Linked DNA regions of Notamacropus eugenii. The protein of the gene in region 2 purifies or fractionates together with the protein of the main gene of each other region. This does not show direct contact. Links are inferred from orthologs where the notes say so. Each region holds a gene or a part of one and is shown on either strand. Other genes may lie near its edges.

Region 1 (12,844 bases), on a different chromosome or scaffold from region 2:
ACTGTCCTTTTCACTAAACCATGGTATCTCTTAAAGAGCCTGAGAAAATTAAAATAGGTAAGACTCTTCTGCCAGATTTCACATCTAGTACTTTTATTAAGGATATATATATATATATATAATATATATACATATATATGTATATATATTCCATTTTAATTAAACTCCATGTATCAAGCATAAGGCTGTAAACGAAGAGATATGAATTGTGCTCTTGGCTCTCCGGAAGAGAAGCTCTGTGACCTGAGATAAGTCACTTCATATTTTGGGGCCTCATTTTTTTCTTTGTTAATTAAAGTGGTAATACTTAGAATAAATGCCTCAAAGTGTTATTTTAAATCATACATAAATGTGAAGTGTTTTTTTTTATTTGTGGTAGTATTGTTACTAATAGCGATGTTTATGTTAGATGCCTACCATTTTATTTCACAGTCTAATTCTAGAAATGAAATTCTACTATGGCATAGAGATCATAGTCTTTGACCTTTATTTTGATCACTATCCTGGTAAAATGGAAGGAGTCTTGGCCTAGGCTGGGCTTTGTCTAGTTTCATCTATGACACTGTTAACTCATATGTGACCTTGGGCGAGATACTTTCTAGGCCTCAATTTTCTTCTGTCTTAAATCGAATAGGAATGAATTAGATGATACCTAAGATCACTTTTTCACCTCTAAAATTCCTGGTACTAAGATTCTGCACAATTACAACATTCTGTGATCTGGGGTCTAACATGATATTTTCTATGGTAGCATCTAGCTCCAATATTCAAAGTTCTGTGATTCCAGTAAGCTCTGAAATTATACAATTTCTCTACTTTTTGCTTAAATTTCTGGAAATTCTGTGTCCCATTGTTCCATAATCACTGCCTTTGGAATGATTTTCCCATTTTCATGCAACTAAATAAACGGTTTCCTTGACCACAATTTCAATTCTCTTTTTATTTCCAGGTGTGTACTACATATCCCTTTGCCTCTTGCTCTGTTACAATCTGAAATATTTCCTTCACTGTGACACAATGTTTCCTTCTCCTTTGATGCAGATCAACTTGGACTTTTCAAAAGAGAGAGAAATAGAATATAAGGGAAAAGAAATAGATTCTTAAAACAGAGGATTTGGATCTGAGCCCTTATGCTTCGACTTGCTAACTATATGATCTTCAGCTCTAAGCCTCAGTTTCCCAAATGTAAAATGAAGGTAATAATATTCCCTGCATAACAGCAACATTATCTACTTTTCAGGGTTGATAGAATGATTATATGAAATATTGCATGCAAATAAACCAGAAAGACCTAGAGCAATGTTCTTTATGGTTATCTATCTTTGTTGTTATTATTACAAGGCATTGATATCTTCCAAGTACTAGGCAACAGGGTTGAAGAAACCAGGGTGGGTTGCCTGTTTTTCTTTCTTAGAAATTCAGAGAGGGATCTTCAGAGAAACTGCAGGGGTTTTGGAAGAAGGACAGGATAGTAAAAAGTATTCTACCTTTGGAGGCTGAAGTCTGAGTTCAAATTCTAGTTTTCTCCATGAATGTATAAAAGTCAGTTTTCTTCTCTAGACCTATTTCTTCCATTGTAAAATGAATAAAGTGGGACGAGATTATCTTCAAAGGTTATTTCAGCTATTTCCTATAGGTTACTATGGCTTGGGGTTTCTTTTCAGCCTTTAAGCTACGGTGGCTAAAAGAACAAACCTAGTCAAAGCAGCAGTGGGATTCAGTGGACACAAAGTCAGATGACTCCAGTTTGAATCCCAATTCAATTTATTACCCAGATTTGGGGGAAGTTCATTCTGCCCTCTGAGTCGCAGCATTTGCAAAATTGGAATAATAGTACTTATGCCCACTGTATCCTACCTTACACTACTTAACTGGATAGTTGTTGTATATACATAAAGTATTGTAAAGCAATAAGGTATTAGATGAATAGAAGGGTTTTTTTTAAATCAATTTGCATTTATATCCAAGAAGTGTTACCAATATTTTGCCATAAAATATGATTTTTCTTATAACATATAATGAGTTTTTGAGAAAAAAAGAACTTACTGAAGTTTTATTTATCACAACACCAACATCATTTTCATGTGAACCTATATCTCGTTATAGTTATATAGACAATGTCAATAGGAGAGTTGGACTAAAATCACAGATTTGCTTTAAAAACTTTTTGAAAGCATATTCCTTAAACAGCCCAAAGTATACCTGTATTCTCATGGGGTCAGTTAGGCTATATGGGGAAAAAGTAGACCTTTAGCAGACACTGAGGGACATTACATGGAGAAGCTTTTACTTTTTGATGCTGGTAATATAATCAGAGTACTTTCTAGGGAAGAAACAAACCCCAGAAATTAAATGTGATCAGCATATAAGTTTGTTTTTCATTAAGAGACAAAACAATCAATTCTATGAGCCCTGTTCTGTTCTAGCAAAATTATGCCTTTGTACTGAGTTTTGTCTAAACAGATCTCCTAACACTTCAGGATGCAAAATAGCGAAAGTCTAGTAATATCATTCCCACTTTTCTCTTCTTGGCTCTGACGTTCATAAAAGAAAAAAATCTATGGCCAGATGCACATACGCAGAAAATGTTCATCTGCTCTAATCATTTGCTATGTCCCTGGTGTTCTTGGCTCCCAGGTTCCAGTGTGATGTCCTCAGCTGGAGTCTAAAGCTGGAATCTGCTCCTTTCTGGGGAGGAATCACCATGGCGATAGCCTTGAAAAAGGCCAGAAAAATTCCCCAGAATGCCAGGCACTGGCTGATATGATTTCTCTTGCCTTTTTTTCCTCCTGTTTTCTTACCTTCATTTTATAGAAGCCCAGATAGGGAGAAAGTCCAAATGTTCTATAGGCTTCTCTACTAGCTTTCACTTAGAAATAACAGAAACTTGAATGCTCCAAATAGATGTTTCAATTAATTTTCTTGTCTGAAACTTAGTTGCCAGCAATTTTGGGGCGGGGGGGGGGGGAGTAGGGGGAGGAGAATTTCAGCAGGAAGAATTGAGCATGTGAGCAGCATCTTTTTTCCTTTTTTAAAATTTTTCATCCCTTTTTTCTGCTCTAGAACTCTATGAAGTTTTGAGAAGCTTGTCATCCTTCATATGATAACCATTTTTTAAATTAATCTATAAGAAAAGGTTTCTAGACCAGATGGTCTCTAACATCTCTTCTATTACCAACCCTCTATTCTCTGAGTTATATTCCAGCTCTGACACTCTATATTCAAAGATCCTTCCCTTTGATCTCACAATGAATGTTCTAACATTCTATTTCTTTCATTTTTCACATGAAAAGACTCTGAGCCCAGCACAATGACATAACACCATGTTTGGAGGAGGAATGTAGTCTTTGCATATGATTCTGAAGCAACCTGTTAAGCCGGTGGACAGAATATAAAAGTAAACATGAGTCATAAACCCAATTATTTTGTCAAACCAGTTCATGGGTGTTTTGTTTACAACAAAATGATTCCCTGAAATGATCTACTGAAATATCGTATGTTTAAACTGGTTGTTTCATGTGTAAGGACACAGCTAGAGACAGCGGGCTAATTACAAGTTTGAGTCTGGACTTTACTTCATACAATCTATCTAACCTAGCAGCACGGGCCACAGAAAGACCTCTTGGCATCTATTGCAAAAGGCATTTATGTTAAAGTTGTGACAAAGACAACTGAAATAGGTGTTGTTGTTTGTCCTTCATTTTCAACGAGGACTGTGACATTAGGAAGATGATGCTATGACTTGCAAGTGAATTGGAGTTAAGTGAGGGAGGGCTGCATAAGGTCACCAGCCTCACTTTCTCCTCTGGAGCCATCTGGATCCCGTGGCAAGATAAGATCAGAACGACTGGAGAAAGCCCCCCCCACTGAGACAGGTGGTCCTACTTTAAAAGAGCAAACCCCTAGGAAAAAATAAAATCCAACAGAACTTTGAAGATGTAACACTTTCCTCTAAATCTCAGAGTTTCTGCTGAGATTACTGTGGAGCTAAAGGTCCATTGATTACACAAAGCCTAGGTTTTTGACTTCTAGCACCCTGGGCAAATATAGATTCAGGCTGCCAGCCCCAACAACAAGAGTTATTTCTTTCTGCTTCTGTATGCTTGTGACATTGTGAAGTTCCTAGTTTTTTGCTTTGTTTTGCTTTGTTTTTGTAAAGTAAGCTAGATCCAAGTTTATAGAGCCTTAGAGCATTAGCTATAGAAGGAAGCTTATAACATAGAGTATTAAAATTTTAAATTACCTTAGAAATCATTTAGTCCAACTTCTTCATTTTATAGTTGAGGAAACTGAGGCTTAGAGAGAGAAGGCTCTTACCCAATGTCAAACATCTGTTTGGTGCCCACACTGGAAAGTTTTAAACAGTTTTTCAAAACCTTTTTTTTTCTTTTAAGATGAAACAATAGAGAAGCCCTGAGAGAGGGGGCAGGGTGACACAAAATAGTACCCAATTCTCTTAACACTTACCTCTAGGCAGGAATGACAACTCCCAGGATCCAGACGGGAAAAGAAAGTTGTGGCTGTCATCAGAGCCATGGCCATCCAGGGGACCATCCTGGCATTTTCTGGGAGCAGAGATGGCAGTACGAACACATGGCAATGTGAATCTTCTTGGGCAGGTACCACTCATAAAACACAGAATTTTCTTCCCCAGGCTGGGTGCCCCACTGCAATGAGTATGCAAACTGGAGCAGGGTAAGGAGTAGAGAGGAAGTGAGAGTCACCACATTAGCATTCTGGGACCTTGTTTCTCAAGTATTTATCTTCTTTGGGAGGGAGAGGAAGTTAGAAGCAGATTTTAAAAAGAAATGTTTGTATGCCAGTATTTGAGAGAGTTTCAAGAGGAAGCTGGCTCTTATCCCAGGAAATTATCTGATATCCTCTTGCCTTAATGGACTTGGGCAAAGTACTGGACAAGAACAAACCATTCATGGAAACCACTGGCTATTGTAAGCCCAGTTTTCTAGTTCATGCTTGTTGCATTCAGTTATTCAGTCAAGTGTGTCCAACTTTATGTAACCCCATGGACTTTGCCCAGGAAGTTTTCTTGGAAAAAAATAATAGAGTGGTTTGCCATTTCCTTCTCCAGGGTGTCCCCATTTTACAAATGAGGAACTGAAAGAAATAGGGGTTAAGTGTCTTGCCCAAGGTTGTAGAATTCATAATTGTCTGGGGTTTGATTTGAACTTAAATCTGCCTGACTCCAGGCCCACTGCTCAGGCTACTGTACCTGTACTATACTTTAGCTACCTCAGTTCATAATGATGATAATGATGGATGACAATAATAGTATTTGATTTGACTCTTAATCATTCAGGACCTGCTCAGCCCACTGATCAATTATATACAATCTGATATACCCATTCCTCTGCCTGACATCAAACCATTTGTAGGCAACTTATCCTAAGGGATAGAGAAATAGGAATAAACAGTTCTATCTCCTCTAGTAAGTTATTCATAAGGAAGTAAACTTAAGTAAACTTTCCTTATCATTAAAATGAAAGGAGGCATAACTAAATGAACTCTGAACTCCTTTTTAGTTTTAATATCCTATTCTATACTCTCTCTATGTCCCACATATCCTAAAATTCCTATAAGTTTTAACATTTTATATCTTAAGGTTCCCTCCAACTCTACCTTTCTATGTTCTAGTATTTTATGCCTTTTATACCTTAAGATTCTTTCCAGGTCTAATGTTCTATGTCCAAATGTTCTAAGAAAAGCAAGAAAAGAAGGTCATGACTAAAATCTAAGTTATGCTTTCAGCTTAAATGTCTAGTGTTTTTTATTCTAATCAATAACCACTAGTTTCTAAGCTTCTGAAGGGAAAGAGGCAATCAATTCAAACTTACGGAATGAATAAATGAATGAAAGAATGAAGAGAAATGACAACATTTTAAGCTTCTCAGCAAAAACAAAACAAACAAAAAAAGCAAACCTGAATAAATACGTAAGCCTTGCCAACCCCAAGACAGAAATGAGACAGAGTGAACAGGATGGAGGGCAATCTACCATGAAATCACATTGTAGTGGTTACAAACCAACAGAACATTTTAAAGACCAGGGTTAAGCCCTTTTAAATCATATGCAAGAACAAACAGTGTCATGTGACTAATGTCCAAAGACCCTCTTGCATTTAATTTCAGCAATCAAAATTATAATCCACCCTTCTCCATGACATTTAGACAGTAGATGAAAAAAAAGCCTCTTACATTCAAAAATATAGTTTAAACAGTGGATGACTGTTTAATACTAGAGATAACATATCAAGGTTCAAGCTATCATAAAAAAATCATCTTCTCTGATGTATTGCTGAGTTTTCACCCAGTTAATTGGATCAGCCTCATCTCACAAACGCTGCTCTCTTTCAGGTCCATGGAGAAATCTGGTTTAAAATTGCCACTCAGTGCTATTAGGGACCTTAACATCTCAATTAACTAGTCAGCACACGGACAAGAAGAAAATGCAATGCAAAGGTGATTTGGATGTCCTGAGAGGGAGGGGAATCATCTCCCCTACTGCACAGAGGTGGACACTTTTCAATTTATGTGAAGGTCACTGCGAGGTTATATCAGAACCAAGTTCAAAGACCCTGGAATAATTACTAATAGTGATGTAGCATACATATCCTGGGAGTACAGAAGGCCTTATCAACTCATATTCTTAAATTCCCAAGGGCACTGGAAGGTGTCTAGATCTCTGTTTCTGGCATGCTGTATAATTATCCCCTACAGGCTGAGTCATAGAATACTCCAGTCACTGAGGAAGTGAAACTGTATATTACCCAAGAACCAGTGGAAAGACACGTATTGAGTATGAGTAGGCTTCAAAATAATGCAAACAAAAAATCATGAAGGAAAAGTGATGTTACAGGATATAACTAAAGTAATTTATAATATTGAAAAAGATGACATAATGGTCACGTAACAAGAATAAGCGACTACAGAAAGTTTTGATACTCTATTGATACCCTCAAGATGCTAAAAGAATTCAAAAAAAGCTAGCAGATGGGCCTCCTATGATGAAATTAGGAGAAAACATGGGCAAAATGCATCACATCAGGCTAGTTAATCCCTAAAGAATATGGAAACCCTTCTTGAGACCTGATTGGCTTAAGAGTCTAAAGATAGGGACTACTGACATGACTTCCTGCCTATGAAACAGTCAAGAGAAGCTTCAGATGTTCTCTCTGAGGCTTGAAAGAGAACAACTGGCAAATAAGGAAAGGACACTTCATTCAGATGAATCTACTAAATACTATAAGTAAGCTATAAATACTACAAATCCCTTGATTTGTTTTGCTGGATAGAATATCCACATAGATGAAATCACAGATCCATTTGATAATCATCTGTATGTTGGAAACTTTGGCATATCTTCTTTATAACATCACATGTGTAGGTTATAGGATTATTTGAGACTTTATGCTCATGTTATTCATGAATCTTAAATGTACATATACCTTATTTGCTTAAATAGATTGTTAGTCCAACGTAGTATAAAAGAAGAGTTCTTAACTTTAAACAAGTTGATGAACTTGTTCACGTAGCTACATGTTAATATAACTATTTCAATAGAATTCTATATTTTAATATAACTTTAATACAGCCACTATAGTTTAAAATAATCAATTTCCTTTGTAATACTTTGGATTTTACATTATGCATTTAAAAACATTATTCCGAGGAGTCTATGACAAAAGAAAAAATAGTTAAGAACTCCTGTTATGAAGCAAAATTTTTGAAGTTTAAGTCAAGATAAGAATTGAAATTCTGATTGCCCATGGGTAAGTCATTTCCCGTTTCTGAGTGTTAGATTCTTCACCTACCTTATACATCTATTGTAAGGAAAGCATTTTATAATCCATATCAACCCATATATTTATACTCATTTACATTTGTTTTATCATGTTCATTTCTCTTGAGGGCAAGGGCCATGTCTTTGTATCCTCCCTAGGACCTGAGACTGGATTGAATAACTAGTAGGAGCTCAATAAATATTTGTAAAAGAAATAAATGGAATCTTTGGGAGATAAGCAGTGGGAGAAGTACTAGAATGGTCTGGAGAATCAATGGACAGCTCAGAGCATTTGGAGCTAGAAGGGAATTGAGAGGTCATATATTACAATCTCCCTGGCTTACAGATTGCAATACTAAGACTGAGAAGGTGATGTAACTTGCCCAAAGTTACACAGATACTAAACAGAGGAGTTGAGAGTTGGACCCAGGTGTTCTGACTACAAATCCTTTCCTCTCTGACACTACAGCATGTTACTTTTCACACAACATCACAGATGACAGTAGCTCTGTGACCTTGGGCAAACTGATTCCCCTCTAATTTCAGCCTTCTTCTCATCTGTAAAAATGATTGGGCTAATTTCTCAGAACTATTCATTTTACAAGATTCCCCTGATTTGACAGTTTTCTCTCGTGGGTATTATATTGAAAGATACACAGATAAAGAAGTTGTCAGGCTACAGAGATGTGCTTAAAAAGTGGCAACTACTTTCCATAGTTCAGCACCAGATATTTGCTCATCACAAATTAGGAAATCTGTTAGAGCTAAGGGACCCACTCCTTTGTGTATGGGAGATGATGATGTCTCTGTGCATTTGTGCATGCATGTTTCTGTGAGTGACTTAAGTAGACCCTGTAGGCAAAGAATCATATGAGATGCATTTTTGCATTGAGATTGTGGTGGTAGTTATTACACAGAATGTTTTTTCTACTTTAGGGTGGAGTACTAGACATATTTTCAGGTTTGGTTGATATATATACAGGATAGGGGAATTGCCATCTCGCCTGACCTGGACTTACTTTTTCCAATTAATAAGCCTTAATTTTCTTTCTCCTAACTCCCTCACACTGAAGAAAAGCGGGAAAAAAAGAAGAAAAAACCCCTATAATTGGCATGGTCAAGCAAAATAAATTCATGTCACAACATATATATGTCATTTTGAATCTTGAGCTTATCACGTCTTGGTCAGGAAGTAGGTAACATATTTCATCTTAGATTCTCTGGAATAATAGTTGCTCATTTAATTAATCAAAATTCTTGTCTTTCAAAATAATTTGTTGTAATGTGTTGTAATAATATGTTGTAGCATACTTCATCTTCCTTTTTCTAGTCACTTCACCTTATATCACTTTTTACAAACCTTCCTAGGTTTCTCTAAAACCCTTCCTTTCATCATCTTATGGCACAGTAGCATTCCATTATATCCATCTATCCTAATTAATTTAGCTACTCCTCAACTGGTGGAAATCTCCTTAGTTTCCAGTTTTTGCCACAAAAAAAGGTTGCTATAAATATGGCTGGAAACATGAATGCTTTTCCTTTTCCACTGATCTTCTGAAAGTAGGCAGGCATGTACTCAAGCCAGCTTGAACTGACTCAGGAGAAAGGGTTATCCAATTTTTAGTGTGATACTGTACACCCCACAAATAGGTAAAGGCTACAAATCAGGGCTTGCCTTATTATTTTGTTGATTGTCTAGATTTAAGGTGATAAAGGTTAATAATGCAGAGTAATCTTTATTGTTGTTGCTCAGTTGTATCGCATTCTTCTTGACCTCTTTTGGGATGTTTGTGGCAAAGACACTGGAGTGGTTTGCATTTTCTTCTCCTGTGGATTTTACAGATGAGGAAACTGTGCAAACAGAATTAAGTTACTTACCTCAGGGCACATAGCTTGTAAGTGTCTGAGGTTAGATTTTGACTCAGGAAAGTTAGTCTTATTCACTCCAGGCCCAGCACTTTTGCTATGGTACCACCTAACTGACCCAGATTAAACTTTGAAGTGTGTTATTTTACCCTACTTTCCCCTTTTTGTGGTTTTGGGGAGCTCATTATTAAAGTTTTGCCAATATACCCTGAGTATAGATCTAGTAGTGTTATTACTCTTGGACTTACTTCTCTAACAGGGGTTTGGACTAGGTTATCTCAATGGCACATTAAACTCTTAACCTATTATGGTATCGCTGCATGAAGACTGAAACCTGGAAGTGAATAGCCCTCTAAAGTCAGATGAGGGTCTGCCATAGCAAGCCAGAAATTTCTTACTAAACTTTTTAGACCCACTACTTTCGGTTTTCCCTTGGGGTTTCCATTAGTATCCTTTAGTGTTCAAAAGCAAAAATGAAGGTCTTTAGGGATTCCCATGTCATGAAAGTCTAGCACTAAGGGGAAAAATCAGGAAATGCAATAAGAACTGACATAAAATCACATGGGTTTTATTGCTGCCTAGTATCTTTGGTGCCATAAATAATTTACTCCTTAAAGGGTGAAAGAGTTTAAATGAGTTCAAGAATAGAAGAGGAAATGATGGTTGTACAGTAAAATGCCATCAGTTATGTTTATTTTCCCTATCAGGTTCAAGAGAAAGCTACGCTTTTCCTAGCTGTAATGTGGAATGTTAGCGAAGGAGTCTCATTTTAGATATTTTCCAACCCATCAAGATGAGGAAGGGCACTTTCCAAAATCTCAGGGTCCTCTAAAAGATAGAACCCAGTCCTGGTTATAGAGCCAAGCCATACACTCCACCACCTCTCTTCACCACTACCTGTTAAAGACCAGATATTGTCAGTACTTGAAGAGGAAAACAAATAATTAAGACTGGCAGGTAATGAACATTTACAGATAATTATTGGTAATATTCAGACATGGACCTTATGATTGATAGCAATAGGTGTCATAAAGGTGATTAATAAAGAGGCAGGCAGTGTACAGATAACATATAGATGATTAATAATGAAAGCTTCGTGCAGTGCTTGTAGGAGGGGGGAAGGGAAAGCTTGAGTTTTTATTTCTGATTTGATGCCAATAAGAGAATTGTGTAGAGTGTCCCCATTTTAAGAAAATGTGTGTGTGTGTGTGTGTGTGTGTGTGTGTGAGAGAGAGAGAGAGAGAGAGAGAGAGAGAGAGAGACAGAAATGAAGGGAAGAAATTTGTTATTCACACACATGCAAGAGGAATTGTGCAAAGACCAAATAAGAAGGTGGGCCCTGCTATCAAAGATCTTCCTTCCTAATAGGTAAAGACAAAAAATAAAGGTGAGCTGGAAATGGGGGAGGCATTCCAGGGTAAAAAAGGAGGAAGTGTAATTTAACTGAAGAAAAGTGCACTTGACTGGGTCATTTCATAAAACAGCAATGCCAGTCATAGTTTGGAGAGCAGGTACAGGGAAGAAACATCTTGAGGCAGGCAAGGAGAGGCAATCTGCTGCGCTGAAAGTAGAACAGTTTGGGAGTGTAAACTCACTAATCAAATAATTTAAAGAAGAACTTATTTACAATATTAAGAAATAGTATGACTTTGAATGCCTCACATCACCTCTCTAGGTTGCAGTTTCTTACATATAAAACGAAGAGCTTGATTAGATGATATAAATCCCATACGCTAGGTTCTATATTAAATAGTCTATGTGCTATTACCTTCCAACTCTAGTATCCTTTGTTCTAAGGTCCTGTACTGGCAGATTGTCTAGGATTCAGGCACACAACAGTGTGGTGACCACAAGGCTCTGTAGGCCTTCGGTTTGCTAGGCAGCCTAATATCTCTTCTCTGCCACACTTTTCTTTGTTGCCTCCCAAACACCGAGCTAGCTCTGGCAATGCATGTCTGTCCACATCATCTCTGTGTGTACATCCCTGGAAAGTATGCTGCCAAGGTAAGCAAACATCCAGCCTTCAAAATTTCTCTATTTGTTGTTCCGCATATGAATGGTATAGTGTGGGCTGGTAGATTACCTGTTCTCTTAGTTGTTAATCGTTAAGCCAAAATTTGCACAAGAAGCAGAGAACTGATCTATGCTTGCATCTCAGCCTCAGTCTGTATTGAGTGCACAATCATCTACATACACACATACACATATGTATATACATACATACACATGTATGTATGTATGTATATTATATGTATTTCTGTGCCCCTACTACATTTGTACTATCTCCCCAATTTGCTAACTCTCAACAATGGCTGTTCCAAACTTTCTCATTCTCTTAAAATATCCTGTAACATGCTCTCTACTGACCCTGTCAAGGTGAAGGCCTGGTATCACTTCAAAACAGTTTAGGCCATTCTTTGAGAGCTTCCCTTTCTCTGCTCCTCACCATCTAACATCATTCAGACATCTCCCATAATCTTTAACTTCACTCTGTTCTTAGCTGAAGAGGTAGCTTTTCTCCTTTTCCAAGGCCCACTTCTCCACATATTCCCTCATACTGTCCATCATCCTCCCTCCATTTCCAGAAAAATTATCCCTGATATTGTCTTCACTTTTTCTTTTATCTTAGGATTCTCCCATATAATGGCTGCTTACAATCATGTCCATGTCCCCCATCTGTAAAATCCCCAGTTGCATCCTTTTATCCTTGCTCATGGATGCGTTCCTTAAGAAAATCATTGTCACTTGGTGCCTTCTCTTCCTCTCCTCATATATTCTTTCAAATCTCTCTACAATTTATATTCCATCCTTATCATTATAGTAAAACATCCCCCTCCAAAGTTACCAATGATTTTTTAATTGATAAACCTAAGGACTCTTTTTTTTGTCCCCATTTTTCTTGACCTATTTATCTGCAGCCTTTGCCACTATTGGTCACTTCCATTGCCAGAATAGTCTCTCTTCTCATGGTCTTGGTGACACCGCTCTCCTCTCCCTGCTTTTTAATCTTCCTATTCGTCCAACCACTCATTCCCTGGATGTATATACAGTACTAGTCTTTCTCCTGATCTATACTCATATATCTACAACTGCTTTCTTGGACATGTTAAACTGCATGTTCCATTACTATCTCAAACTCATGTCCAAAAGGGAACTTATCATCATTCCTCCCCAAACTTTC
Region 2 (12,429 bases):
CAAATATACCTTGTATTTGTTTATAATTTCATAGTAGAATATATGAGGACAAGGACTCTTTTTTTTCCTTGTTTTGACATGCAGTGCTTTGCACAAAGAAAACAATAAATGCTTCTTGAATATAACCTTTCTCCAAAATTTATCCCTCCTCTCAACTTTCCTAGTCCTGTTGATAGGATCATCCACTCACCCAGTGGGAAAACCTCAGGGTCATCTCTAACTCTTCCCAGCCCCTCATCCTGTCAGTTGTCAAGTCCTGTGCCTCTTACATCTCACATCCATACCCTTCTCACTACTCAAAGGGCTACCACCCTAGTTAAGGCATTCACTGCCTCTCATGGGGGCAGTTTCAATAGTCTCCTAAGAGGATCTCTCTTTCTCTAATCCATCCTCCACGCAGCTACCAAAATAAGCCTCCTATGGCCTAGTTCTGACTACATCACTCCCCTGCTGAAACATCTTCAATGATTTCCCCTTACCTACTAGATAAAATGCCAGCTCCCTACTTTACAGTTCCAGCCCTTCTGAGGTCTATCTCCAACCCATCTCCCAAATTTATTTTATGCTCCTCCCCTTTCCATACTCTATGGCCCATTCAGGCTGAGCTACTAGCAACCCTTCCATCCCCATCCCCCAGTCTCTTCCTGTTGAAATCCTTTCTCTTCCTTCAAAGACCAACTCAGGTACTATCTCCTTCAGAAAACCTTTCCATATTCACCCTAAGATGAAGGAGACCTCTCCTCCAACCACTTAGTTTGCCTTCTTCATTTTCCTGAATTGTATAGTTATTTACAGGTCTATATCTCATTCCTCCAAAGGATAGTCCCACTTTGTTAAAAATTATATCTTGTTCTGGTCTCCCTGACCACCACCACCCCACTTCTAGTCAATCTAGTTAAGCTTATAAGTGGTCAGTATAAAGGAGCAACAGCAGGAAATTGCAGAGGGAACCTGGAAGTCACATACAAATCAACCCAAACATCCAAGAAGAATAATTTACAAACTGGATCATATATTAAGCAAAATTCACCTCCTGGTAATATGTGCTGAATAAGGGAAAGCCATCTAGGCAGTACTGTCAGCATTTTGGTCCTATGATATCTGGTCCATAGACAAAATCCAGACCTCCACAGCTCCACACCAACAGAACATCAAAAGTTGATCGTAACATTGAGATGATGTAGGTACGTTAACTGAAGTATTACCGACAACTTTGAGATGATGTGGATGTTAATGAACTAATCCCAAGGTGGCACAAATAAGAGATGGTCTGTTTCAAAAACAAAAACAAAAGACCTTATAAGAGTGAGACATCAAACTCATGCCCCCTGACCCCTCTTGGGTCCATGCTGCCTAGTGCTTCTGACTCTAATAGTTATATAAGTGATACCTTCTGCCTCTCCTCCTTCCCATCCTCTTCCCTACGATTCCTTTCCCATCCCATCCCCTGACCTCACATCACCATCTGCCTCTGTATCCTTCTTGCTGCTTGTCTCTGTATTTTCTGTTGTTTGCCTTCATTAATGTGTGACTGCTGGCCTGTTTCTGGCTGCCAATCAAGGTCTGTCCTGGAGAGTACCCAAAGAACTGGGCATGCCTGCCCCCATTTCACAATTTCATAAATTATCGATTCATCCATGATGTCAAAGACCAGAATGGTTTTTCCCTTCATCTGGTGTCCTGCACCAGCAAACAGCAACAGATTTCATTACTAAGAGCAGGGGTAGATGGAGAGTTTAGTTAAGACTTAGTGGTTCTCTATCTCCAATTCAATTCATGAAGCACTTAACAGTGAGCTGAGCTGACCTTGTCACTTCTCTGCTCAAGAAGCTTTTTCAGGGGCTTTTTAGTGTTTTTAGAATAAAATATAAATTCTAGCCACCCAGGTTTATAACTTGGATTTGACCCTTAGCTGTCACTTACATCACTCCCAATAACCAATAAGTTGTCCGTTTTGTTGACTGAAAATCTCTCCAATGTATCCATGTTCTCTCTTCCCTAGGTAACGACTGAAGGGAAAACAGGCATTTGTAATCTTGGTACTCCCTACATACAAAGCAAAAGGCCCTTTAGATTTTAGCAGGTATTTTGTTAAGATAATAAAACCAGCTTAGTTTAAAAAAAAAAAGAATAAAGTGAAAAATATTGATCTGAAATATTTTAGTAATATGAAGTCAGAGATATGATTGTCCTAACACTCAAGTACCTTTGTGAACAAAACACAACAAAGGAAAAAGGTAGCATTTGGGCTGGGCTTTTAAGAGCATGGTTAGGAATTCAACAGAAGATATTTCAAGCATAGGGTAGAGTGAGCAAATACATCAAGGTGGCAAAGTTCAAGAAATGTTTGGAGCACAGAGAACTATTAAATTTGGCTGAGAGTTTGTAGGAAATAATACCGAAAAGGTAAGGTGTAAATGGACAGATTCATCTTCCTGAGTTCAAATCTGGCCTCAGACACTTGCTATGTAACCCCAAGCAATTCACTTAACTCTGTTTGCCTCAGTTCCTCATCTGTAAAACGTGTTGGAAAAGGAAATGGCAAACCACTCCAGCATTTCTGCCAAGAAAACTCCATATGGGGTCATGAGGAGTCGGACGTGGCAGAACAAACTGACTGGAGTCCTTAACTTTTGGGGCATTTGGGGTCATGGGTCCCTTGGGCAATCTGAAGAAAATCTACGGATGCCTTTTCAGAATGCTTTTAAACGCATAAAATAAAATACAGAGGATTCCAACGGAAATCAATTCTATTGAAATCCAGTTACCCAAATAGATTAAAAACTCCTAAGGTAAAGGAATGTCAGGGAAAGTAATTTAACCTTTGCTCAGCAGAGCAGTGTGACGCCTAGATCGATGACTAAGATAGTGGAGGCAGTAATACTGGTCCTAACAGGCACTTAATAACAACCTCCTGCCCTTCCCTTCTTTCTCCCAAATCTTGTCTCCTTGAGTGAGGAATCAATCAGCTTCCACCACAAGGGAAAGAGACTATGGATCCATGTGGGATCCTGAGCTCAAGATGACCCAGGAAATGGTGGACTTCCCTGCCCCCACTGGACCCTGCCCTTACCTTTCTTTGGAAGTGCAGAGTGCCAGAGTGCTTAGTCGGGACCATACAGAGAAGACCATACAAAGAATTTCCCAAGACCTGGCGGAGGAGTGGGGTGGGAGTGGGGGACACTAACTGCCCCAGAATGAAGGTTCCAATCCCAGTACTTCCAGGCAAGGCCAAGCACACCAGCCGCTCCCCCGAGGAGGCTGGATGCGGAAGCCGGACAACCAGATGGGTTACCGAAACTTTCAGCAACGTGTTCCGAGTCCGGCCCGGCCCCTCCCTCGGATGTTTGAGTGGCACCAAGATTTTCCCTTTTCCCCAGCCACTGGAGGGGACTGACTGGGACTTCCCCAAGAGACGCGATGCGTTTCGAGGCATAAAGGGGTAGGGGAGGCGGTATCGTCCGAGCATTGCTCTCCAGTGGGTACTCAGAGCAAACTTCATGTTCCAGGCAGGCTGAGCCAGGAAGGGCCTCCTGGACCCAGGAAGGAGAGAACTCCTGAACTTCAAACCTGGGCGAACGGGAGTATCCAGCTCTACCTGGGCTCTGGAGAGAAAGGGTGCGGAGCTAGAAACTCCGAGGACGAAAGGGTGGGATGGGGAGAAGTGGAGAAGAGAGGAATTCAGAACGGGGGAGGGGGGGGGGGGCGCTGGCGTTAGTGACAGTCACTGCGAACGCAGACTTGAGGGAAAGCTCAGAAGGGGTCGGGACTCCACCAGGAGTTCGGAACCCTGCGAAGGAGAGCTCCCAACTCTGGAGGACAGAGAAAATTCCGTAACCAACCTAAGACAGTCCTACCCGCCGACATGGGGTGTCCGGATCTTCTAATCATGCAGCCCTTCAGGGTGCTCCCTGGGCCTCCAGAGCTCCCCAGGCTGAAGGTGGGGGCAGACCGCGGGCGGAACCACCTGCGCTTATTCGGGCCGGGGAGGTGCCAGGTCTGTGCCAGGTCCGTCTTACTCCGCTGCTAGAGGGTGGATCCGTGGATCCGTGGATCCGTGTACGCCCCAAGCGCAGGGAGGCTGTACCGCCCCTGCGCCCTCTGAGAGGGGCAGGAGTTCTTCCTTCCTAGCTCTCGGCTTTAGTGGAAATCTGGATTTTTTAAAAAAAAACAAAACAATAGAATTGCCTCCAGTCTCCAGCTAGGGAAAAGCCCCTAATCTGTCCCTAGCTACCGTTTCCTCCGCTTACTAACTACCAACCTGGAGGAAGAGAGGGGATAGGAGAAGGGATGGGGGAAGGGAAGTGGAAGTTGAACTTACTCGTAGGCTAATTGTTTTAATTGATTTTTTTTTTTGGTTCTTATATTTGTTTTTTCATTTCTTAATGTATATCGTCTCTCCCTGACCGAGCAACCCCATTCTGCAGATGAATAAACTAAGACTCATAGACAGAAAGTGACCACAATCATTCATTTAAGTGCCTAATCAGAGTTAGGTTTCCAGCTGCATAAACAAATGAAAAAGGGAACCAGTCCCCGCCTCGAAAGTGCATATTCCGGTACAACATTATGGAAAATAAATAATTTGGTTGTAACAGGGACGGTTAGATAGAGAGATGGGCCAGGGGTAAGCAAGACCTGCCCTTGAATTTCCCCTGGGTCCCTTATTAGGTTAAGTGGCCCTAGATAAGCTACCAACCACCTCTACCTGCCTCAATTTCCTTTTCTGTAAAATGAGGGTAATAATAACACCTATTTCAGCTATAGAAATGCTATTGTTGTTAAGGTACAAGATAATTTGAAAATGGTCAGATGCTTTATGGGAGGGATGAGAAGGAGGGGGCCGGATTCTGAGTCGTAAGTGGAGAAGTCAGTCATTCCAGAAGTGTGTGAAAAGGCCTGGGGAGAGGAAACAAAGTTGAAAGTGAAAGCAAGCTTCCTGGCTCCAAATCCACTCCCTTTCTCATGAATCACATTGCTTACTACCTAGCTGCTTCGGAACTCAATCACTCCCTAGTAAAAGAAGTTCTGGGCGAAGTCAGGTGAGGCAGATGACCCTGGCTCCTCTGCCCCTCTAGTTCCTCCTGGCCTGGCTCCTCCCTGACCCCTTTCTTTGGTTTGTCCTTCTCTCCTCAGGGAAGCTGGGTAGATTCTGTGGTGTTAGCTACTACACAGAATCCCAGAGCATATATCTCTCTCTATCTTAGCCTCAGTTTTGTCATTTGTAAAACAAAGATAATAATAGCACCTACCTCCCAGAGTGATTGAGTAAAGCTCAAAATATATTTTAAAAAAAAAATTTTTTTTTTAAGGGAAGCTGGGTTAAGTGACTTGCCCATGCATACACAGCTAGTAAGTGTCAGAGGTCATATTTGAACTCAGGTCTTCCTGACTCCAGGGTCAATATTCTATTCACTGCACTCTCTAGCTGCCCCAAATCTTAGCTTTTATTGTAATAACAGTAAGAAGTATCAGGTCTTAGAAAAGGGGAGAAGAGAAAGAGGAGTGTCCCATGGTAGGATAATAGAATCTCCCATTTCCTTAATATTTCAATACTGTATTCGAAAAGCACTTTCCTCAATACCTACCTATGGAGGTTAGGGGTCGGAGTCATTTCACAGGTGAGGATACAGGATCATCTGAGAGCTTTAAGTGGCCCCAGGCCTACAATGACACACCCACTGTACAATGTTACAAAGCCCTCTGGCTCCATTTTCATAGGTACCCAGAGAAGGAAGGATAATACCAATATTCTCCCCATTTTACAGAAGGGGAATAGGAGTTGAATTAATTTGCCCAAGGTTGCCACAGCTAAAAGTAGTATAGAAACAACTCCAAGCTAGAACTCTCTCCACACCACTGGTCCTGAGGCTATTTTTAGTACCCCTGAGTTCCCTATCCCTCCCTACAGAGGGCTGGACTTAGAGTCAGGAAGACCTGAATTCAAATTCTGCCTTACTAGTGTTATAATCCCTGGATGAGTCACCTAACTTCTCTCTGCCTCAGTTTCCTTGTATGTAAAAAATGAGAGGGGTTGGATGTGATATCTAAGTCCCTGCTAGCTCTTAATTTATGATCCTCTGATCTAGATGTAACTCTTCCCCTCCCCCACAGAGAGTTCTAAAAAGATTTTTACTTCTGTTCTCAGTACCATCTGCTTCCGTAAAGCCTGGTTTCTGTCAAACTTGGACAGACTCATAAAAACCAGAATGCCTCTTATAGCACCCTCTGGTTTTATACTGCAGCAATCACAGTGATGGGCCTGAAAAACCAATGGCAAGGCTTCTTCCTGTCAAACTTACTACGAGTTTGATGTCAGAGCAAGTGACTCAGTCTCCCATCCTGTCTCCCTCAACCAGTAAGCAGTTACTGTCTACTTAGTGTGGGCCAGACACTGGGATAAAAGGCACAAAAAGCTCTCTTGCCTTCAGAGATTTTACATTCTACTGGGGAAATATATGTGTAGCAATAAACATATGTCAAAATGAGACCAGGCAGTAAGCAGTAATTAGGGAGATCTGGTCTCGAAGACCCAATTTGTCTCCAACTTCAGGGAAATCATTTCACCTTTCTCAGGCCTCAGTTCCCTCACCTGTAAATCATGAAGAGAAGAGTGGCATTGGTGCTACAACATCCCATCCTGGGCCATCTGGGAATGATGAGTTCCCAAGGTTCCCCAGGCTGATTTTGGAAGGACAAGGAGCTTAGAGCCATCACTCCGTACCAGAAGCTATGCCTGCCCATTCCACAGGGTTTTCTTGAAGAAGTAAATAAGACAGTGAGGGCAGGATGGGTGAGGGTATGTGGAAAGTCAGCTACTGAACAAATATCCGAGGAAGACAGATAAGAAAACTTAAGTTTGCCCGAATTTGCCACAAGGTACCAAGTAGAGTGAAGAGCCTAGAGTCTAGAAAATTTGAGTTCGAATTATGATTGAGTTACTAGCTGTGTGACCCTAGACAAGTCACTTATCCTCTCTCAGCCTCTGTTTACTCATTTGTAAAATGAGGATAAGAATAGCACCTACTTCCCAGGGTTGTTGGGAAGATCAGATGGAATAACAGGTAGAGCAGGTGAGGATCACATCAGATCAGGGTCCTAAGGTGAAGAGGAGCCTAGTATTTTTCCCTTCTCCTTCTCCCACCCCAAACTGCCTAGAAGCCCTAGATCCCATTCAGCTCAGCTCCTAAGCTCACATCAGATCCTAAGCAAGGACATAGAATTCAATTAATTCCCAAAGTCAGTTTAGGGTTGACATCCTCTCTTTGACAAGAAGAAAACAGAAGGCTATAATGCCTCATTGGCCAGACCCCTTAAAAGAAAAAAGTTTGAATTCATCATGAGAAATGCCAACTCAACCAGGACTTGAATTAATCTTTACTCAACCTATTTCTGAGATTCAGCCTGTAGACCTACCTAAGTCTCCATCAGTAACTAAGCCTGGGGTCAGGAAGACCCGAGTTCAAATCCAGCCTCAGCCACTTACTAGCAGTGAGATTCTGAGTGAGCCACTTAACCTGTCAGGTTCTTCAACTCTCAAGTAGGGATAATAACAGCACCTACCTCAAAGGACTACAGTGAGCATTGTGGGTAAAATTGTTGGTGCTGCCACAAACCAGAACCAAAACCCCCAAACTAAAACCCAAATCCAGTACCACAAATTTAGAAACCAATGGGTTTATTGAATTTGTCAGCAGAAGAGTCCCACCTGTAGGAGCCAGGCCTCCACAAAGGAACAAAAGGACAAAGCTTCAATTTAGGCAGGAGGTGAATTGGGTGCCTCAGGATTAGACAAGGACATTGCTGGGGGCTTGTGGAGAAGGAATAGGGAATGTAGTATCCTGTGATTGAACAGGCCTATTGCTGGACTAGAAACTAGAAAGGCTCTTCTTCAGTTATCTTAGCTATCCTTTGAGACCCTGCTAAATTGAAGAGGCAGGAGACAGGTTGTGATACAAACAGGGTCAGTGGTAAGATAGAGGAACTACAGACAAAATGAAGTTGGCTTTTTCTTTCTTGTTATTCATGATTCCCTTATTTGAGACTATTGGCAGTCTCACAATTAAAAAAAAAATTCCCAAATCAATCCAAGCAGAAATGATAAGCAGCTTACAGAATAGGTAACAGATCCATAGCACACACAGAACTAATACAACAAGCAACATTACAATAAGGTAAATAAAGAAATCCAGCATAGTTGTAGCTTTAGGAGGTGTCAAGTCCTTTGGCAGTGTCTATAATCTTCAAGTATCTGATAGGTACCTCTTGTACATCTCTCAAACATCTGCGCATAGATCAGGATAGGTTTGTGGAGGTATTTCCTTGACTTTCTACTTGCATCCCTTTATAGCAATTCAGAGATGCTGGGGTATTGCAACAATAAGATTCATTACATTTTAAAAATTACAGTTTTACCTGCCATAGCTAGAGAAATTTCTATGAAAGGAAGAAGGAGGGACATGGTTGCATTAACATCAGGACTGTACCTCCAGGCCTAAGCACAGAATGACTTAACATAGATATAACAGGATAAAGCATCCCTAGTTCTGTTTGATTTCCTTGTCACAGTTAACTTTTTGGAACAGCCAATCTCACAGAAAAGTTCCACCTTATTCATAGAATACCATAGCCAGGCTGAAGATTAACCTGTTGGGAAACATTCCTATTCAAGAAAGAAATTACCGAGGCAAGAAGATCCTATATTCACCTATGAAAGGTCATCCTTTCCAATTTCCCACCTGTAGCAGCTCTTGGATCACATTCCATTTGAACAGCTCATGGAATTTTCCATGAATGGTATTGACAATGATAATTCAGACATTTTTACCCAAATTCAAAACTCAGAACAATATCAAATTCCAGTACCAAGAGATTTTACCTCAAATAGCAAGTTTCACTAATCACAACTTAAAGCTAGGTACAGTTATTATTTCTCTCATGCTGTTTACAGTAACTGTTAATGATAAAAAGTTTACCAAGCCTTTCAAAACAATTCACTCAACATCCTTTTCTTCTTTTTTCTTTTTTGAGTTTAAACTCATCCTGGTTTATAAATCAATCCATAACAATTAAGAAAATAATTTCATGCTGGAATTCCACATAAACAGTGATTATATGACAGTTTACTCTACATCCAGAAAAACATTGATACTTCCAGGTATAATTTCACAATTTTCATAATCACAAACCATCATATAAGTTACAACCTGTAAATTCTCCCCCAGCTTTGGCAAAGAGTGTTCGTGTTAGAAGAGAGGAATCCCATTTTCTCAGTAAACCAACTGATTATTCTGGAATTTCACAACACTTAGCAAGTTCTTTCAAAGGACCAATAAGATTTTGTGACCTTGTCCAAGCAGATGGTCCCAAGGAACCTGACAAGATTACATATAAGAAGATTTTTACAAGGATTTCTTCTTTTTTTTTTATTTTCTTACAAAATAATTACTATTCTTCTCTTTTAAAATATACCCAATTAAATACTTGATAGGTTTTAACATCACGATAGCCTCTAATAATTTAATAATTTCACAGCATCCAGATCAAAAGGAGTTAAATTTTCCAATCATACAATTGCATCATCTTCTTAACAGCATTTCTTATACAATGATTTCTCAAAATTCACAATACAAGAAAATTTAGAATATAAACAATAGTAATAAAATTAACAAATTAACAATAATAACACACACAATATCATGTATTTAAAACATGAAACAAAACTTATTGCCAGCCATATGACATCGATTTAATTGAATGCCTTTCCAAATTATCTTACATAGAAAACCATTCATGTGATCACTTTGGGCATTCTACTGGGAGGCCAATCTGCTTAGATTGAACTTTAAGCTTTCTATACTGCAAATATATTACTGCAGTATTCAACGCAGTATAGATTGCATTCAAGACCAATATAGAGTAATTTTGATCCAATTATACCTTTAGCAAAACTTGCAGTTCCTAAACACATTGCTAAATACTAATGCTAAATACTATATTTCCCTTAAGGCCTGATTTCCTCAAATAATTCAACACTGCAAATATATTTCTATGTTTTCCGTATAAATAACCAGATTGTATTTCTCATTTCTATTTTATCTCAACAAGATCAAAAATCTCCCTCAAACTCCAAACCTTTTACTTTCAAATTCTCCATTTACACTCAGTGCAAACAGATTATAACTTTCTCTAACTTTCTACCTATTCTCTCACCACTACTTAATTAAAACTTCTTCCTTTCTTCCTTTTCATATCCCATAGTGGATGGTGATTAAAGTCCTTCAAAGTGCCCCTTTCTTTTTTCTTTCCATATTCTGATCTGACATTTCTCTTACTTTTTTCTATTTGCTTATTTCCTCTGGTCTCTATTTCCTAGGCATATCCCAGACTATTGATAGAATTTATCTTTTTCACCCCCCTTCCCCTACTCAATTTCTCCTTTGCCATTTTAGTTCAAGTTTTTATTACACAGTGCCAATTTGTTGCAATACTGTTCCCTTTGGGGGGTTCTTTAGAGTTTATAAATGCATGATTTTTTCCAAAACCTTTAGACAATTTTGCTTTTATTTACCTAAACAATTACATTCTGTATATCATTCACAGAAAAAAAATAGTGGAAACACAAAACATTCTCCCAAATTAAATTTTACTTATTTTAAAGTTGCTTCCTGGTTTAAACAAGTTTTTTTTTCTTTTCATGGTCAAGAAAAGAGGTAATAATGGGCATGTTATAAGTATCAGATAAATTCAAACTATATACAGCAAACCCATTTTTTTCCTTTACTTTGAAACTTCACTGACAGTGCTTCAGCTCTTCCTTTTTTTTTCTAGTTAGTGAAATAACTTTCCTCCTTGCAATAAAAAAATAAATCTGCCACGCTCTAGGGAAAAAGTGATAAAAGGCCTTAGCGTTATTTTTATGTAACTTTCACAAAGTTTTATTCTCATTTTACCTTAAAACAAATTCTACAGAATGGCATCCCAAAACTTACTAACATATTTCAGCATTTATTTAAAAAATTCAAACAACAGTTTGGAAATTCACTGTACTTACATTTTAGTCACAAATTTAGTCCCTAATTACTTTATAGTGTCATAAATTTCTGCACTCAGAAAAAAAAAATCTCCCCTCCCTTACCATGTAATTTTTTAAAAACTTGATATTTTATTTCTCCCCAATTACATGTAAAAACAATTTTCAGCATTCATTTTAAAAATTGAGTTCAAATTGTCTCCCTCTCTTCCCACCTCTCTCATTGAAAAGGCAAGCACTTTGATATTGGTTATATATGTGTAATCATGAAAAACATATTTCCATATTAGACATGTTGTAAAAGAAAACACAGACCAAAATAAAAACACAAGAAAAATAAGAAAGTAAAAAAAGCATTCTTCGATCTGTATTCAGATGCCATCAATTCTTTCTCTGGGGATGGATAGCATGTTTCATCGTAAGTTCTTCAGAGTTGTCTTGGATCACTTGGATCACTATTACTTAGAATAAATCATCCACATGATCATCTTACAATATTGCTGTTACTGTGTACAATGTTCTCCTGATTCTACTAATCTCACTTTGCATCAGTTCATGTAAGTCTCTCCAGGTTTTTCTGAGAGCATCTAGCTCATCATTTCTTATATCACAATAGTATTCCATCATAATCATATACAAATGTTTCAGCCATTCCCCAATTGATGAGCAGCTCCTTAATTTCCAACTCTTTGCTGCCAGAAAAGAGCTGCTATAAATATTTAGGTGTAGTTCCAAATTGCTCTACATAATGGTGGAATCAGTTCAGAACTCCACCAATGGTGCATTAGAGTCTCAATTTTCCCACATCCCCTCCAACATTTACCATTCTCCTTTTCTGTCCTATTAGCCAATCTAATAGGTGTGAGGTAGTACCTCAGTATTGTTTTAATTTGCATTTCTCCAATAAACAGTGATTTAGAACATTTTTTCAGATCCCTATAGATAGCTTTGATTATTTCATCTGAAAACTGACCGTTCCTATCTTTTGATCATTTATCAACTGGGGAATGGCTCTTCTTTTTATAAATTTGATTTATTTTCCTATATATTTGAGAGATGAGGCCTTTATCAGAGAAACTTGTTTCAAAACTTTTTTTCACAGTTATGATTGCTAACTGTATTTCCCTCCATTCTACTTCCTTTGTTTTTTCTATTCACTCTCTCCTTTCACCCTCTCAAGTGTTTTGCTTCTGACAATTGCCTCCCCCAATCCACCTGTCTTTCTATGAGCTCTACCCCCTCCTCCCCACTTCTCTTATCCTCTTTCCCTCCTATTTTCCTGTAGGGTAAGATTTATTTCTATACCCAAATGAATGTGTATATTATTCCCTCTTTGAGTCAATTCTAATGAGAGTAAGGTTCAAACATTCCCCATCACCTCCCCCATCTTCCCTTCC

What was found.
Region 1: the proteins of TICAM1 (region 2) and TLR4 purify together in Homo sapiens (affinity purification with western blotting; 3 studies listed by BioGRID). This does not show direct contact. The link is inferred for Notamacropus eugenii from reciprocal best matches to the Homo sapiens genes TICAM1 and TLR4.

What each region holds. Positions count from the first base shown.
Region 1 is NC_092872.1:437,460,195-437,473,038, reverse strand, and holds the start of TLR4 (toll-like receptor 4), read right to left. Parts: upstream 4,860-12,844; 5' UTR 4,555-4,859; coding exon 4,468-4,554; intron 1-4,467.
Region 2 is NC_092875.1:72,300,269-72,312,697, forward strand, and holds the start of TICAM1 (TIR domain-containing adapter molecule 1), read right to left. Parts: upstream 4,801-12,429; 5' UTR 3,858-4,800; exon of another isoform or gene 3,843-3,857; intron 3,697-3,842; exon of another isoform or gene 3,074-3,696; intron 2,047-3,073; exon of another isoform or gene 1,924-2,046; intron 1,271-1,923; exon of another isoform or gene 1,031-1,270; intron 1-1,030.